4 linked regions of the Drosophila melanogaster genome follow. The protein of the gene in region 1 interacts with the protein of each later gene in a pairwise test. Each region holds a gene or a part of one and is shown in the gene's direction. Other genes may lie near its edges. The genes, in order: Drep3, Mfap1, trus and CG42353.

The links.
Region 2: the proteins of Drep3 (region 1) and Mfap1 interact in a two-hybrid assay, tested with the Drosophila melanogaster proteins (one large-scale study listed by BioGRID).
Region 3: the proteins of Drep3 (region 1) and trus interact in a two-hybrid assay, tested with the Drosophila melanogaster proteins (one large-scale study listed by BioGRID).
Region 4: the proteins of Drep3 (region 1) and CG42353 interact in a two-hybrid assay, tested with the Drosophila melanogaster proteins (one large-scale study listed by BioGRID).

What each region holds. Positions count from the first base shown.
Region 1 is NT_033778.4:12,053,269-12,058,096, forward strand, and holds the start of Drep3 (DNA fragmentation factor-related protein 3), read left to right. Parts: upstream 1-1,820; 5' UTR 1,821-1,950; intron 1,951-2,700; exon of another isoform or gene 2,701-2,705; 5' UTR 2,706-2,752; coding exon 2,753-3,118; exon of another isoform or gene 3,119-3,279; intron 3,280-4,828. Other genes in the region: CG44314 (uncharacterized protein), read left to right, coding at 1-1.
Region 2 is NT_037436.4:1,939,463-1,943,372, forward strand, and holds Mfap1 (Microfibril-associated protein 1), read left to right. Parts: upstream 1-1,605; 5' UTR 1,606-1,713; coding exon 1,714-1,792; intron 1,793-1,853; coding exon 1,854-2,775; intron 2,776-2,837; coding exon 2,838-3,273; 3' UTR 3,274-3,410; downstream 3,411-3,910. Other genes in the region: mu2 (mutator 2), read right to left, coding at 3,520-3,734, 3,791-3,910. UniProt on the Drosophila melanogaster protein: Required for pre-mRNA splicing.
Region 3 is NT_033777.3:12,455,018-12,458,988, forward strand, and holds trus (toys are us), read left to right. Parts: upstream 1-1,555; 5' UTR 1,556-1,606; coding exon 1,607-1,714; intron 1,715-1,781; coding exon 1,782-2,875; intron 2,876-2,934; coding exon 2,935-3,190; 3' UTR 3,191-3,427; downstream 3,428-3,971. Other genes in the region: CG18549 (uncharacterized protein), read left to right, coding at 1-325, 393-988; CG5961 (uncharacterized protein), read right to left, coding at 3,482-3,971.
Region 4 is NC_004354.4:16,101,901-16,106,928, reverse strand, and holds the start of CG42353 (uncharacterized protein), read left to right. Parts: upstream 1-1,982; 5' UTR 1,983-2,125; intron 2,126-3,875; exon of another isoform or gene 3,876-4,110; intron 4,111-5,028.

The sequences.
Region 1 (4,828 bases):
AGCCATTAACCGATATAGTGCAAATACGCACAGGCTTGCTGGCCATTAAACCAATTATGGCCAGGACCGTTGCACGTAGGTATCCTTACACAGGAAATACACAAAATAATGAAGTATGCCATTAAGGGGGGGAAATGTAATTGCTTGTTACATGGCGGCAAGGTCGATGCCAGTGCTTTTTTTCTCTCATTATTTTCCATTTCACATTTATTTTAATTTAATTAAAATGTTTGCCATTTTCTTTTATACATTTTTGGTTTGCCCCGCATCGAAATGCTATTTTTTTCCATTTAATTTCATTTAGACTGCTGACAGCAGGCGCAAATATTTGGCATTTACCCGTACCACTGCCTTATGTGTTTTTCGCCTGACGAGTTTTTGGCGAAAAGTGCCACATATCCAAGGACCAGGATCAGAGGCCATTTATCATCGCCACATGCGGCGGCATGACCTTTCCGACGACATGTGAGTTAATTAATCTAACTGGCCAGACGGCCAAGGTCGTGCATCGCAATTAAACATGGCAGCTGATGATGAAGGGAATTTACCTTCGCGACCAGACGCATAAATTTCAATTTGCACCTATGCATTTAAATTGATGGCGATGGAGGTCCTGCAGCAGGACCAGCATGCTGCATATGCGAAATGCGAATAGTTGTTCGCGCCGCGCTTCAATGCGCAATTAGCGGACCATGGCCCATAAATTATTTGACCCGCCGGCGGGGGAAAATGGGAAATGGAAAATGGCGGACGGAAATGAATGCCCAGCAGGGCGAATAAACAGATGAGCGTGCAAAATTCGCCCAGCAATCCGAATCCGCTTGGGCCTAAAGTATGCACTTCAGGTAGTTGGGACAAGGACCAGGCTCAAAATGCGTAAACGAGATAACAGGCCCACAGATATATTGTTATCCATCACGTGACTGCAGTTGGAATCACGTGCTCAGTCCATGTTCAATGCCGAACTTCCGTAAGCGGGCGCAATCAAATTAACCTTGGCTCACGCGGCGTATGCGCAATATTTCAGCCATTTAAGCCCAGTGCTGTGATAAATGCAGCTAAGTGGCTTTGTTTGCTCCCAATGCGAACAAATTCGATCGACGTACAGCGTCTCATGCATTTTAAATATTCCGCCAATGCAAATGCCAATAAATCTCGGCTTTTGTCTCGCCCTCAAAGGCAATGCACCTTTGTTGAAAACTTTTGCCCAGCTCTGGGATGCTTTAATTATGCAGCCAGCAGCAGTCTCATTATGCCGAAGTGACATTTTTCAGCTGGACGCCAGAGTTTTTCGCCGAAATTGCAAACTTTATTTTTATTGCATTTTTAAACTTTGCCCTTAAGCGCCTGAAAGTTCAGGCTAAAATATTTATATTTGCCATCACGCCCCGCAAATACACTGTGCTGTTTGTATTCGTTTTTATCTTCTTGTGGTCCCGGCTAAGTAGAACTATTTGCAGCTGCTCCAGTAAACTTTTCCCACCTTCCAGGTCATAGAATCCCGATCCCAGGCCAGAGTTCTTTTGTGCCAACTTTACTTTATCCGGCATAGGGTCTATGCTTCTGGCCCGGCACGCCCAGCGTGTCCTGGCTAACAGGAGCCTTAACAGAGCGCTCGCTCTCTCTCTCTCTCTCTCTCTTTGCCTCTCTTTGCGAGTGTCCTGCTCTCACGGCCAAAGCTCCGCGAAGGTTAGACTTTGCTGTGTGTTTGCAGGACCTGCTGACTTTGCGCCGTGTGTGTTTGCGCTGGCCGAGGCTGTCGGCAAACTCGACGAGTCCTGCCACGTTTAAATACAGCACGCACAGACGTCTGGCAATTTATTCCAAGTTCGGCCGGCTTTTGTTGCACTTGGCTGCTGTGAGTAGTCGGCTCGCGATCTCAGCCAGAATCGCGTATTGTAATTGTTGCCGGAAGATGTGAAGAATTCGGTTTTTAACTTAAAGTGCACGGTAATGAGAAACAAAATGTTGCTTCTAGAGTTCAGAGTATATAAACCAACTATCTTTTTGTCTAAAAGAGGCTTGTGGAAATTATGGAAAATAATTAGTTTAGCTTTCATGATAAAAAACAACAAGCAAGCACATGCAAACTATATTCTTTTAGACTTATAATTGCCTCTATAAATTTAAATGAAGTTTTACCAAACAAAAAAGTTGGCCAATTATATTCGTTTGAAAAACTCTAAACACGTTTCTGCATCGTCATATATGGAGCTTTACTATCAAATACAGGACACCAAAATTGAAATAGTGCAAATTACATTACTATATAAAATTAAAAAAATAATAATATTTTGTAGATATTTTTTTTAAGTCGTTGGTAAAAATGTACAGTATTTAAAGAGCCGATGGTGAAATTGTAATGCAATAACATTCCATGGTCTCCTTCTTTTTTTTTTGGTCTCTATAAACTTCGTTTTCTATGTGGCTTTAAGGTCAAGCAATTTCAGCAATTGCAAAACTTTTTTAAATCAAAGCCAAAACAAAGGCCAAACAACGATTTCGTTATAAATTTTCCGGTCGAAGCAAACAACGTACACGCGTATATGAAATAACAATAACACAAAGTCTGGCAGTTTTAGTATGCTTGGCTCAGCTTTGAAAGCATCCCCGAATGCCATACAGCATATTTCAATTATCGTCTAAATTTGTTTTGCTCGTCATAAATCTCTTTCTCTTTCGACCATGTTTTTCAACCAGTGCAGCAAGGAGTCCAGACAAGGCGAACAAACTCTCGAGACGAGGTAAATACATGACAGCAATGAATGCGGATGAGACAAAGCTGGCTGGAATGCCTCAAGGAGCTGAGGAGGAGCAGGAACCGGAGAGGGAGCAGAAGAAGGAGAGCGATGGAGCAGCAGCTGCAGCAGGAGTACAGTGTGATCCTGATAGCAGAATAGTGGCTCCGCCGCCCAGGCAGCGGACTCTGACAAGGACGGCCGAACTGGACGCGGACTGCGAGGACATCGAGTTAGATGCCGACGATGGTTTGGACGATGCGGCGGATAGCATCACCTTGGAGTTGGCCCTATCGCCGCACAGCAGCGCCACGCCCACGCCCTCGCCCACCACCGCCGACGAGGATTTCGCCCAGCTGGACAACAGCAAGCCCTTCAAGGTGGGTATTCCACTCGCTACTCGCACATCCTTCATGTCCTTTGTGGCATTTAGCCACGCTACCTGGCGCCCCGTCATCTGGGCCAGCATTTCGTTAAGTGATTACTGCGGTGCTATTGTTACGCTTGATGGGTATATAGTAAAAAAAAAATAGAAAAAATTAAACTGAAAATGGAGGAAAAAGTTTGACGGTCAGGACGAACAAAGTGAAGGGTTCCCCGACGGAACGGCCACTTCAAAGCCTTCGGCGTTGAGTGGCATCATCGACATTGGCACTGCTGCTGAAGTGTTGCTACCGGTGCTTTATTCGCCCTTTAAGCATTCGTCCAACTTTTCAATTCGCTGCAAGAGTTGGTGCGGGAAAAAATCCGGGAAAACAGAGCTGTTTCCTTTTGCCCTACCAGCAGCCCACTCCGCACTGCCTTCACCATGGCAAACTCCATTTGATTGTGAGGATTGCGTGGCCCTGCCCAATTTGGAGCACAGAAAGAAATGATTAGGGTCACAAATAGTCGCTGTCAATTCTGCAAAGTTTACGAAACAATTTACGCATCCGTTTACCTATTTACGAAACTTTTAACTCTAAAAACTGTGTGTGAAAGATACAACACATCGACACTTGCAAGAATAAAACGATTCTGTTTAGTATTGATATGATTTAACTTAATTGAACTTGAATGTCCTTATTTTGATGATCCTATATCCAATTACCCACTTATAGTAAGCCATGCTCAGTAAATCACTAACACTATCAATACAATATAGTATAGACCATATTTCACCCTCTACTCAGATTAGCTTCTTGCAAATTTTTTGCCTGTGTGGCTGGTCAACAATGAAAATTTAATTAAAATGTTCAAACTGTTCAGTTGCATAGGGTAGTGGGATCAGGATGCGGGCGCCCAATTGTCTCGTATATCATTGTGGGCCAGCCAGCTGGCCAATCATCCAGCCATTCCGCCAATCGCCTCCAGTGCCACGCCCACATCTAAGCCGCCTTGTGGCGTCTGTGTGGGCGGCGATAACTATAAGTAGGTGTCTTGGCCACGCCAGCTGAACACCCTAATCGATGTATTGTGTGTTAACGGCATCAGAGCGATGGCCATAACAATATAAACTGGCCAAAAGATCGGCGTCTACGAGATATCAAGTGGCTGTAAATTTGCCAGGCGAAAGCAATTAATTGACGGCTTGACGTGGCCGAAACGCGATGTCATTTGTCAGTGGCAACCGACCGGTGATGATGATGATGATGGGTGAGCGTGGGCCACGTGACGTATGCGTAATTCATGCGCATTCCAGCTAATTAATAAGCCTCCATCTTGTCTGCCATCTGACACGGGCATCTTCTTTATCGAGCTCTCGGGGAAATTGCCAAGGTTCTGATTAAAAACACTGGATGATATAATCCTGGAGATATAATCCCTTTGACTAATTCCAGAAACAACTAAATGAGAGTGAAAATTAAGGAAAGGGTTGGTAGTCAGAGGCCAACACATGAATGCGTGAGGTAGGGTTAATAATATCCTGTGTTCACGTATTGGCCCTTAGGTTCTTCTCGGTATGAAAATAATTTGCATCTCTTCTACTTAATATCAGATAGTTCAATTAATTCGATGGTTACCATGACTGATTTGCAGTTTGGTTTACTCACAAGGTTAAATTGGTTTAGATCTACCGCTGAACTGAAAACTCATAGCAGTGCTGCCAC
Region 2 (3,910 bases), on another chromosome or scaffold:
TGCATATCCCTCGATGGCGATTGTTAATTGTGGCAAGTTGAGCCAAGTGAAATGCGCTGTAAACAAACATAAAAGTTTAATTGCTGGTTCTTGGCCAGTTTGGGATTGCGTGATGTGTAAATATTTCCATTTGTCTCACCCTTTATTACTTTTTAAGTAACTCGAGTCACAAAGGCAAAAAGTGCGCCAATTAATAATGGAAACGATTATATCTTTCGTTTTTTGTACACTTGTCGCCTCGCCTCAATTGCTGGCTATGTGGTGTTTTACTTGGATAACGATAACGAGTTCGATCTGGTACGATTTTGATCAGGAATGACACTCTTTCTCCCGCTAATAGAAAATTATTTGTTTACAATTCCTGTGCGCCAGTGTGGGTGTTTAATTCTAATTGAAATGTATTCCCAGTTTGAATTTAAATTTGAACTGAAACGGCGCCGGTCAGTTCAAAAAGAGTTCAAATCGCAATAAATTGATAAATGTAAAATGTATGTACATATCTAGTATGTAGTGGCAAAAAGAAAGGGGGTCTCCAAATATTCAGCAGGTACTTCCCCCCAAGCGGAAAGTCACCAAATCGACGCCCATTTTTCTAAAGGTCAGTGAGTTAGCTAGGCAGATATGCACTTAAGCATGAAGCGTGTTGCATTAATTAAATATGCCCGCCATGTCGTTAACTAACAGTCTCATGTAAATCTTGGCCATTCAACTACCTCAGCCGACGAAAAGCAGTTAAAAGCAGTTCGGCAAATGCGTCTCGGTGTTTAGGCCCGAAACGATCCCATCCCATGCCATTCCAATTCCATTCCATTCCAAATCCCCATCCCCATCCATATCCAAAGCAAATCCAGCTAACTCTGTTCCTCGGATGCAAGTGGCCGAAGACGTCACAAAACTGGTCGAGCCCCTCGTCCGCCAAGTGGTTCTTTCGGACTTTGGTCCGGTTGGGTGGGTATCAAATCACATCACATCAGATCCGAACGGTTTTTCAAACATTACAAGACAATCTTCACACGTGCTGGCTGCGTGCTGTCGAAACTGAAAATACGCAATACCAATAAAAAGAATTTTGGATTCGATTCCGGCATTACACAAGATCAAGCACCCCTCCTCCGTCCTCCCTCTATCCATCGTATGGGAATTGGAGAAAGCGTAGTAGTCAATTAATTTACTAATGAGAGTGGGCGTTGACATTGCTAAAACACTTGTTTATAAAAACAGCACAGAAAAGAACATTTTCCTTTTCACCAAGGAACCCAATATATATGTTTAAATTTTTTGCAATCCAAAAAAGCTTAAATGAAAATGAATTTCTTACTTTCAATAGTTTTTTCCAATATATAGTTGTCTAACAATAAATTGCTCCATTTCTTTCTGTGTATTAATATTTTCAATTATCGAATGTCTCAATTAGTTGCTGGCCTTAATTCTGGCTTTGCGAAGTCATCGCACTTCCGTCATTGCAATTCAATATTCACCATATATATGTAGTAAAACTTTCTTAATATTTCAAATTGCGGGCCTTGTTCGATAGCGTTGCCACTCTGGTTTTGCTGAGCTGCATAGGCATCGATAATATTTGTAAGCAAAGTATCGATTATTTTCAGATACTTTTGTCCATCTCTAATTTACCATACTTTTATTTAGGAAATATTTACAAGGAATAAATACAAAGATTTGCTTATTACCCGTGGATTATAAGTTAAAACCACGATGAGTGCAGCCACCGCCGCCGCCGCCGCTTCTGGGATCCAGAGCACAGCGGGCGCCATTCCCATGCGCAATGAGAAAGGTAAACAGCGAAGCTCGATCCTCACCAGAAATTGTTTATAAGCTGCATATCTCTTCAATAGGTGAATTGTCCATGCAAAAGGTGAAGGTGCAGCGATACATATCCGGTAAGCGACCCGACTACGCCCGTGCGGACTCCAGTTCGGAGGAGAGCGACGACGATGACTTCATTGACACCAGGAAGCGCCTTGAGCGCCACAAGGCGGAACGGCATAAGCTGGAGCTCTCCCGTCAAGGCGGCAGCGCGGAGGGCGAAGAGCGGGCGGCGGGTGAGGGCCAGGAGGAGGACGATGCCGAGGTGGACGATCCACGCCTCCGAAGATTGCGGCAGCGACCCGTAGACATGGAGGACATGGAACGTGAGCGGAGGGAACGCCACCGACACATCCACGAACCGGAAATCATGGAGAGTGACAGCGAAGACGAGGAGGAAGACGAGGGAGCACAGGGAGCGATTCAGCGGGGCACCAATAAGATCACACTGGCATCCGAATCCGACACGGATGCGGAGCTCAGCGACACAGAGCTGGAGAACCGGCGCACCAAGCTGAGATCCCGCATGCTGCAGCAGCAGCGCGAGGAGGAGGTTCTACAGAAAGAGGATGAGAAACAGTCGGAATCGTCCGAATCAGAAAGCTCCGAGTACGAGGAGGAGACCGAAAGCGAGGAGGACAACGAACCCCGCCTGAAGCCGCTCTTCGTCCGAAAGAGAGATCGTGCCACCATCCAGGAGAAGGAGCGAGAGGCTCAGAAGCAGAAGCAGCTGGAGGCGGAGGCCAAGCGGGCAGCCAAGGAGCGCAGAAGAGCCACCCTGCGAATGGTCGAGGAGAGCGTCAAGAAAGATCTGGAGAAGACCAAGCCGGAGACCAATGAGGCCTGCATCGAGGACGTGTGCACGGACGACGAAAACGACGAGGTGGAATACGAGGCCTGGAAGCTGCGTGAACTCAAGCGAATGAAGCGGGATCGCGAGGAACGTGATAAGTAAGTGAACATCAAACTGCTCTTAGAATTCCTTTTTAACAATTCTTTCCCTTTTCTTTCAGCGTCGAACGCGAGAAGCTGGACATTGATCGCATGCGCAACATGACCGAAGAGGAGCGACGCCAGGAGCTGCGCCAGAACCCCAAGGTGGTCACCAACAAGGCCACCAAGGGCAAGTACAAGTTCCTGCAGAAGTACTATCATCGTGGTGCCTTCTACCTGGATGAGGAGAACGACGTCCTCAAGCGCGACTTCGCCCAGGCCACGCTGGAGGATCACTTCGATAAGACCATTCTGCCCAAGGTGATGCAGGTGAAGAACTTCGGCCGCTGCGGCCGCACCAAGTACACTCATTTAGTGGACCAGGACACCACCAAGTTCGACTCGCCCTGGTACGCCGAGTCATCCAGCAACATCAAGTTCCACAACGAACACGCCGGCGGCATGAGGCAGCAGTTTGACAAGCCCACCGGCTCGAAGCGAAAAAAGATGGAGTAGTGTTAGACGTATGTAATTGATGTATTTGACAGGCATTAGGAAAGTAACAAGTAAATATTGTGCGGCCACAGTTATGATGGAACCAAAACTTCATATACAAACAATTATATATAATACAAATATCATAAGTTTAAGGTATGAACGAGATTTCGTCTGGGACTTCGATGTGTGATGTACAATTTTGGAATAATGGCTAACGAATGATAACAAAAAGCGGAGAACACACAAAAAAAAAAACTATAACGTTTAAAGTTTGAGCGTGTGCTCCTGTAGCATTTCAATGTTGTGTTGAACGAGCGCCTGCATAACAGCCTCGGTTTTGATGAAGTGCACCTTTTCATAGTTGTTCAGACGTCGCTTAGATTTCGTATCCTTGCTGGTGGTGACCACGTACAGATCCACGCTGATGGCCAGCGAAGGCGGTTGGGCATGAACCTTGCCGCCGGCGCTGTGAATGATGACTGTGGGAGATTACCGATTAGCCACTAGTTGGAATAAGATTTCTAGTTAGGCTTGCCTTTCATTTCGTTGGCCTTTGGCACTATGTCTTTGCCGAGCATAAAGTGCAAGCCATACAGCAAGCGAGGGTGTTCCAGTACGGAGGAGGGTTTGAACTTGTAGGTCTCCTCGAACGTTG
Region 3 (3,971 bases), on another chromosome or scaffold:
ATTTCCCGTAACTCTGGCGTCTTCTGGGCCCTGCTGCAGTGCAGCATGTTCATTGGGAATCTGTTCGTGTACTATCAGTTCCAGGACAAGACCCGCATCGACAAGGAGACACGGAATCTGGTCATCGGCGTGCTCACGGTAATTGCTGTGCTGGGCATCGTGTTTCTGGCCGCACTGAGATTCATGGCCGATAATGCCGAGCACGACAACGAGCTGGAACAGAAGCACACGGGCTGTGGACAGGCCATATACGCATTGAAGTCCGCAGGACAATTGTTCCTCACCAAAAAGATGCTGCTCCTTAGTCTGGCCTTCTTTTACACAGGTGGGTTGGATTGTGGTCAAAACTGAATAGAATCAGAGATACTAAGTGCTTAAACATAACTTTCTAGGCCTGGAGCTGTCATTCTTTAGCGGAGTTTTTGGATCAGCGATTGGATTCACCACGAAAATAGCCGAAACACCGAAGGAGATCGTTGGACTGGTGGGCATTTGCATTGGAGCCGGCGAGGTCTTTGGAGGAGGACTATTCGGCATACTGGGCAACAAGACGACGAGATATGGACGCGATCCCATCGTGATTGCCGGCTATGTGATGCACATGGCAGCCTTCTTCATGACGTTCATCAACCTGCCGAACAGTGCACCGTTTAAAGATACCACCGATATATCCTATCTGGACCCGCCCCGAGCCAGCATCGCCTTGGTGTGTGCCTTCCTTTTGGGCCTGGGCGATGCCTGTTTCAACACTCAGATCTACTCCATGCTTGGCGGGGAGTATGTGAACAATGCCGTGGGAGCCTTTGCCCTGTTCAAGTTCACCCAGTCGGTGGCGGCGGCCATTAGCTTCTTCTACTCCTCGCACTTCGGGCTGTACGTGCAGCTGGGCATCCTGGTGGTTATGGGAACCATTGGCACCATTGCCTTCGTCTTCGTAGAGTGGGGCTTCAAGCGGCAGCACCGCGAGCAGGAGGCGTTGGAGAAGTAATTCCGTTGTGGGACTCAGAGGATCTAGAGTATTAGATGCAGGTTCTTGTTAGAACTCTAGGGCTAGGGCCATTTGTCCGTGTTTGTTAAATTCCTCGGAATGCTTTAAATCCGTGCGACTGCGTCGTCTTCCTAGACAATAACTGATAAGTGTTGTTGCGCGCTATTGTTGCTAAATATACGTATTTTAATGTTGGCATTCCAAAAAACGTAATTGTAATCTAGTTGTCTATGTTTTTATATGTGTGTATTGTATATGTGCGTTTATTTATTTTAAGCGGCGATTGTGCAAATATAAGATAGTAAACCACAAATTTGGAGTATTATAAGAAATATATAACGAATTTTAAGAAAATAATAGTTGTTATGGATCTTACTTGTGTGCTACTCATTAATAATAGAATTTTGTGCTTTTATTTCATTTTTCAACTATTTGATATATTTTTGAACTGCCTAGATTTCATACTTTGAAATTCGCACACTCGATTACGATGAGTCGATATCTTTTAAAATCGATAGTACCATGTGCAACTATCGGTTGTCTGCCCATGAGCACTCATTTCGCCCATTCCTAAAAGAAATCATTCAATTTTGAAAGACTTGAATGAAACCATGAAAAATGGCCAAGAATAAGTCGACTGTGTACCTAGGATACGAGGATGAGGAGGTTACGGCCAAGCAGGAGCAGCTCCTGAACAGTTGCACAAACAAAATCGGTGGCACACCCGTAAGATAGGCGATTGCATCGACTTCAATAGAGGCAGCGGATAATTGAAATTGATTTTTACCCACAGGATTGGCCCAGACACGAGGTGACCATTCCGTCATGCCCGCTGTGCGGTGCAGTGCGTCCACTGATCGTGCAGATGTACGCCCCGCTGGATCGCTCCCAATTCCATCGCAGCCTTTACGTTTTTGGATGCATGAACCCAGTTTGCTCTCAGAATTCAAAGAGCTGGTGTTGTGTGCGCACTCAGCACCTGGACCACCAGTACGAGGTGATCAGTGAGCATTCGCCGAAGGCAACGCCAACTAAGAAGCAGAACTCCAAAAAAAAGGGGAAGTCGAGCGGATTGCAGGCTATCAGCTGGTGTAGTGGAGCGGACGACTGGGGCGACAGCAGTGGTGGAGCAACCGAACAGGCCAAGACCATCTCCGTGGCATTGGACGAGGCTATGGACATCACCGCGGACGACGACCAGAACGAACGGAATGGCAATGTGCGACCGAATGCCCTGCAGTACGCCAAGTCAGACATCCAAATAGATGAACCAGCCAAACTTGAGCAGGTAAAGATTGCCGCCGATGATGACGACGACGAGGACGAGAGCACTTCGCTGGAGAACGAATTGATCTCTGGCTTTCATCAAATGGACATGATCTCGCCGCAAAACGCCGACGATGATCCAAATGCTAATTGTGCAGCGGCCGCCGCTCCCAGTTTGGATGGAGCTGGAGCCAGTGCCGCCTCAGCGGCCATTGGTGCTGAGATCGAGGGTCCCGAAACGGATCTGGTGCTGGTCGACACGCCCAAGAAGCCGGAACGCGACCTGATTGCCTTGTTGAAGCACACCTCGGGTGCGCTGTCGCAGATCAAGGACCTAACGCTAAAGTCTTACTATATTGCCGTCGATGTAGAGAACAAGACCCAGGCGGAGGAGTACGAAAACTTCGGAGGCGCTTTGTCCATGGACCACATTCGTGATTTGTATCAGGAGTACAAGCTGAGAGACCAGAATCCGGGTCAGTCACCGACCGGCGGTGCATCTGGACCAGGAGAGCAGGGCGATGAGAACGAGTCCTACGAGAAGGCATTGCCAGCCCATGGCGATTTGGTGTTTCACAACTTTATCACTACCATCCATCAGAATCCGGGCCAGCTGTTGAGGTAAACATTGTACTTCTATCCTCATTAACTTTCCTCTTACCCAAGTTGTTCTGCTTCAGATATTCGCGGGATACGATCCCGCTGTTGGTGGCCCCGTTCACGGAACCTCTGCCCAAGTGCCAGAATTGCAGGGGAGAGACCATCTGCGAGGTGCAGCTGCTGCCCACACTGATTCCCAAGCTGCGGTTCCAGGTGAACGGTTGCAATGCACCAATCGAGTTTGGCAACGTGCTGGTCTTCACCTGCCTCAAGAGCTGCTGGGACACACCCGACCTGATGCGCTACGAACATATTGTGGTTCAGTCTGAAACTTAAGGTGCCGTACACGGCCATTTCCCAAAGCCATTAGAGTCATTCGCTGTAGCCGCTACGATTGCAGACTGGTGCAACGAATTTTAAACGCAAACTGCAGAGATAAAGCTAAGCTTCTCGATTGTCCTAGGAAGATTTTATGCTCTAGTTGTTAAGAACGTTGTAAGCTTTTAGACACTCCAAAAATGGATAGTTGCTAATAATATCTCGTTATTTCCACTCCCCCTCTAAAAGGGTTTCAAAACATATTGTTTTATTTCCAACTTGCAGAAATCCATTCTAATTCTAATTAACCTAAGCCAATGGTGCATCAGCATCAAGATGGTAGCTCTTTACGGTTGAGAACCTCAGCGCCGGATATTTGGCCTCGGTCAAATCGAACTCGGAGCTGATGTCCACCTTGTTGCGCTTCTGCACGAGCGTGTAATGTGACCAAACCAACTGGGCGCATCGGCGCTTGGTGGTGCCTGCGATGCGCAGCTCGATCAGGAACTGTGAGGAGTCCTCATCCACTGGCATGATACTCCCTCGCCTCTGCCGCACGTTAGCCGGCCCTCGCTGCTGCGACTTTTGCAGCACCAGAGTGACTGTGCTCCCGAAGAGACGATAGCGACCCCGAAGCATTTCCGCCCGTACGTTGTTCACGTGCTTCAGTTTGGATACACCTTGCGCCGGCTCATCGGCAGTCGTCATCATCAGCACCTTGCCATCGGGCAGAAAGCGAATGTAGCGATAGTACTCCACCAGTTGCACAGGACGGTAGAACTGATCCTGGAAGCTGTTC
Region 4 (5,028 bases), on another chromosome or scaffold:
AAGCCAAAGTCAAAGTCGCTGCTAATACCAAAGCTAAAGCCAAAGACGAAAAACGAAAATTTCCGTCTTGTGAAATAAAAAAGTATATGCATATGCATATGAGGCTGATGCGAAATCCCGGCACCTAAAACACCACAAACCAGACAACAGTCCATCCAGTGCAGTGCAGTTCAGTTCAGTTCAGTTCAGTCCATTCCATTCGCCATCGAAATCGCCCAATTCGAGTACCGTAACCGAACCCCCGAATTAAGCGCACCATGGAATTGTTAAACTCTATGCGACCATCGATTGATTGGCCGACTAAATCCTGAAACCATCATTACGCGCAGATTGCCAGTTAAGCGAACGGAGGCCATGCCCTTGGCATTGTCCACGGATCTGCAAAAGGGGGCATGCCCGCAAAATCGCCTTTTGAAACAGTTCTCACACTAATCCAAAGGAGAGAGGATGGCTCGAGGAGAAGCTCTGTTTTGCTCTGTAAATGGCATGGTACATAATTGCTTAATATCGGTGTCATAAATAGAAAAGCATATTAAGTATAAAGTACAAAAACAACCAAAGTATAGTTGAAAGTTAGTGAATTGGAATTGTAATGGAATTGATACATAGTGATTTAAGATTAAAATTAAATGATTTTTTAAGAACTCAAAACTTAATTCATAAGCCAACTAACAACTAACCAAACAATTGCGATTAGTTATGCCGATTTCAAGTAAATTTTGCTGGTTTCATTTTTTACTTGTAAGGCAAATTGTGAAATAGTGTAGTTAGTTTACTTATTTGTCTGCATAAACTACAGATAAACATAATCAATTTTATTTCGTTTTTCAGTTTGATTAGCCCTAGCTTTATCTAGCGATCACTATTTATTTTATTGTTATTACTGAAAAATAGCACAACGCTAGTCAACCCTAAAAATATAGTAACTACACAAAAAATTTATTTTGTGTAACATACTTTTTTACGTCTGTTTTGAATAAACACCAACAGATGGCGGTAGTTTAGTCTCCAAAAATAGCTACTACGCGCGCTTTTGCAGAACTTGCACTATCCGCTGGATGGCGCTTCACATATTTCTATAATTTCTTACGAGCGTTGCCATATCCACTGATTTTGCTTAAACAATAAGTTTTAGCCGTAACAAACCTACATTGCGGAAATACAATATTTGTAGAAAGTCTCATGTAGCCTTAAAAGAAGTGGTTCCAAATGGGTTCGAAACGCTTAATTGAATATGTAACATTTTACAAAAAAATGTTATCTAAATTTATTTTAAGGCACATGGCAAAAAAAACCGATATTAAGGCTAACGATTTTAAGGTGTGATATTTTTTAAATTGACGTGTTTTCAGTATATTTTGTTAAATTACCATTATTTCCATTCAGCACATACTAAACATTCTTTTAAATTTATTTTTTTAAGAGCCAAATAATTTCATTTCTTACTTTTAATAAATTTCATAATTTGAATTCTCAGCATTCTTATTCCATGCTGCTGGCAACATCATAGGTCGAACTTGTGGCAACGCCTTAAAATATCCTTACTTGAAAAAATAGAACCAAAATAAGCAACACGTTAAGAAATCTCCTGTATAATTTTGTATACCCATTATTTGAAAGTTGGCAAGTATATTTTTGGTTCGTCGACAAGGACCATTGCAGTGGCTTGTTAAGAACAAATTGTTATTTATACATCCTACGTTATAAACATTTAATTTAAAAACATTTCTTTAGCCATAAGAATATACGAAATTAAAACAATCTTCTGATTCAATTAATATGATAAGATATATGCCAATTTCACCCGTTTCTTTCGGTGTAGGCCAGGTCAGCCGGAAATCTTAACTTAAGCCAGAACGAAATCTCGCCAGTCCGGTAGCGCTGCAGATACAATGAATACAAATACAACGCTTTAAGAGAAGCCTATGTTATTAAAAGTGGATCGTATTGTGGATTCCATTTGCCGCAAAAAAAATCGTTGCTGTCGCAGTCAACTTTGAAATCTTGTGGTGAGCGGACGTGTTATTTTTTTGTTTGGTTTTCCCGTTCCCGAACGCCGGAGTACTTTTTGTTGTTAAGTGCGCGTCGTCGTACCGCCGCTATTCTATTGTTCACGTTTGTTTAGGTAATTGTCGTTAAATAAAGTCAAATACAATCACACCGTATATACGGATAGTATCTGTATATTGGCCCTGTATGTCTAACCGCCTTTGCATCTGTGTGTTATATTTACTTTACCATCAAGTACGACAAAATATTCGACTGTTTTTCATTTATTTTTTTTTCGGGCTTTTTGGCTTTGTAACACACATTGTACCACCGATGTACGGCGAAATTAATAATACTCAAAACAGAGAAACATAAAAACAGTGGTGGTTCGTTGGTTCGGTGGGGGAGGGGTTTTTGGGGATCTCAACCACCGCCGATTGTTTATAGTGGTTGTGTGTGTGAACGAACGTTAGTGCGAGTGTGTGTATCTGTATGATTTTGTATCTTTTTGTTGTTGTTGTTGTTGTTGTTTTTGTTTTTGTTGTATTCGTGAGTGAGTGCGGGTTAAAGCAAGAGTTTGTGAAAAAAAAAAAACGAAATAACGTTGGGGGTTTTCTTCAAGACCAACTGGGATCTGGGATATTCTTATTGGCATCCGTCAGTTACTGCGCGGTGAATGAACTCCAATCCGAACTCACACTTTGGCCGTCTAGCTGCCAAACCAACGGAAAAAACGAGGCGCACTAAGCATTAAACGTAAAAAAGAAATATATGTAAAAAATAACAAAAAAAAATGAAGGAAATAACCAAAGCAAGCACAAACTCAAACTCAACTAAAACCACAAAATGGTGGCTGAGACACACAATTATGGCTTATTTTCGAAATATTAACCCAACTGTGCGCAACGGCAATAGCAACAGCAAATAACCATAACAATGACGAAAGCAAAAAGGCAGAAAAAGCAAGAAAACCTAGGTCCAATCAGAAAAAAAAAAGCAAAAGCAAATGAGAGCAGCGGCTGCAGTTTAATGTCTTTCACAGTTGCCTTCAATACGGGCTCTTCCCAAATCGGAACGGACACTGATTCATTTTGGGAACACAAAATCCAAAATCTATTTGGAACGAGACTCCATGCGGAATTAGGGATGCAATTCCCAATTCCGTGGTGGTAAGGGTAAATTTATGCCATAAATCGATCCATGCTATGGACCGTAAAGGTACACTAAAAAAACACACAACAGCACACACACACACACACATTCGAATTTATAAGATTTGAGGAGGGTTGGGCTCTTTGGGATACAATATTTCAAAATAGTCATATTTTTCAGTAAAATGTTTGCTTGTTTTCACATGTTTTTTTTTTATTAAATACAACCATTTATTAACATTTTTCATAACCTACGCAGTGTACGATTTCGTTAACTTTTCGTGTGATTTGTTCAAGGGGTTATTTCGCTCTCAAGACATATGTACATACATACATTCATACATATCTACATATGTATTAAGTGGGTGCAGTTTTTCATACAAAATAATCTTGTTAGCGCCAGCGCATCCAAATTTCGCAAGTTCGAAACCCAATGCAGATGTGTTAAATATTTTGGCTTTGACGTGGTTTCTTTAAATGGCTTCTTGACTCTAGATACTGAATAGTCCTGCTTTCGGGGGGGAAAAAAAAGCCAACTGAATAAAATAATTATGAAGCACCATTTATGGTAAACCTAGAAACTTATACAACAATTTAAACACAATAATAACATATCAATTTCGCGGTCATTCCATTGCTAAATTCTATGCAAAAACTTACACTAACGTTTGTATGTACGTGTGTATTTGGCATAAATTAACAACGTGGAAAATTGTAATTTTTTTTTTCGAACAGTCTGACTGGGAAGGTCTCTGATTGGAGTCTCTCCATCCCCCTCTACCGTTCTGATTAGAATTCAAATTATTATAAGCGAGTACTGTGGCGAGTACACTTGCGCGTGTATTGGTGTGTTTGCTTAGATAATGGGTGCTATCTTATCAGAGGGCTTAATCTTTTGCAAGCTGAAGGCGAAAAAAAAATAATAATAATAAAAAAGCGATCGATGCGAAGCAGCTGCCCGGGGAACAACGTATGTACTAACAGGCTTTACTTTAACAAAACACCGATCGAATGTGCATTTTAGTATGCCTCAACCTTCGGAATTACTCACAGCTACAACCTTTCGTACGTATGTATGTACATTCGTACATCCATATATGTGTGTATCTTGCCAACATGCGAGTTTGGCAAGACGATGACGAGGCCCTTGCTCAGCGAAAAAAAAAAATGCGCCGGGAAAGAATTATGTTCGGAATAGCCGAATTGTGGATATCCTCTAGCCACCAAAAAGCACAAAAATGTTGCAAAAGATGTTGCCTACCTGCGGGCGTATTAGAACGTTCGCGAAAAATTGTGAATCTTAAATTCTAATTGCTTTTGTTATATTTTCTATTTCATTTGATGATCTTTATGAACTAACATTTAATATTCACCTTTAATGCCTATTTTTCCATTTGCTGATTCGTTTATTTCAAGGGTATTTAGCTTCTTATAATATAAATGAATTTATTACATCAGCCTTATCTAAGTTATCAAAATTCGTGTGAAATATCATGAGACCCGGGAGTATACTACATATGTATACAAATTTACTTAAAACTGCTCACTCTCTCGTTCAGTCGTTTCTTTTTAATTGCCTTTTTGCCACCATTTCGGTTGGCTTCTTTCGTAGCTTCACATTTGGCTTCAGTTACTTTTTAGAGTCTGTTGCTCAAGTTACTGCTGATGATGATGATGATGATGATGACGATGATGACGATGAGGCAACCCTTTTTTTTTCAGGCCTTATTAGACGACGCCGACATGCGGTCGCCGGAGAACTACAAAAGTCAATCGTTTTCAAATTATCACAGCCGCCTGCTTCTGCTTCTGCTTCTGTATTCAAATCAATTGGAAAATCAAATGCCCCCGCATTCAGCGGTTGGCGACCGGCACCATTTGCCACTCA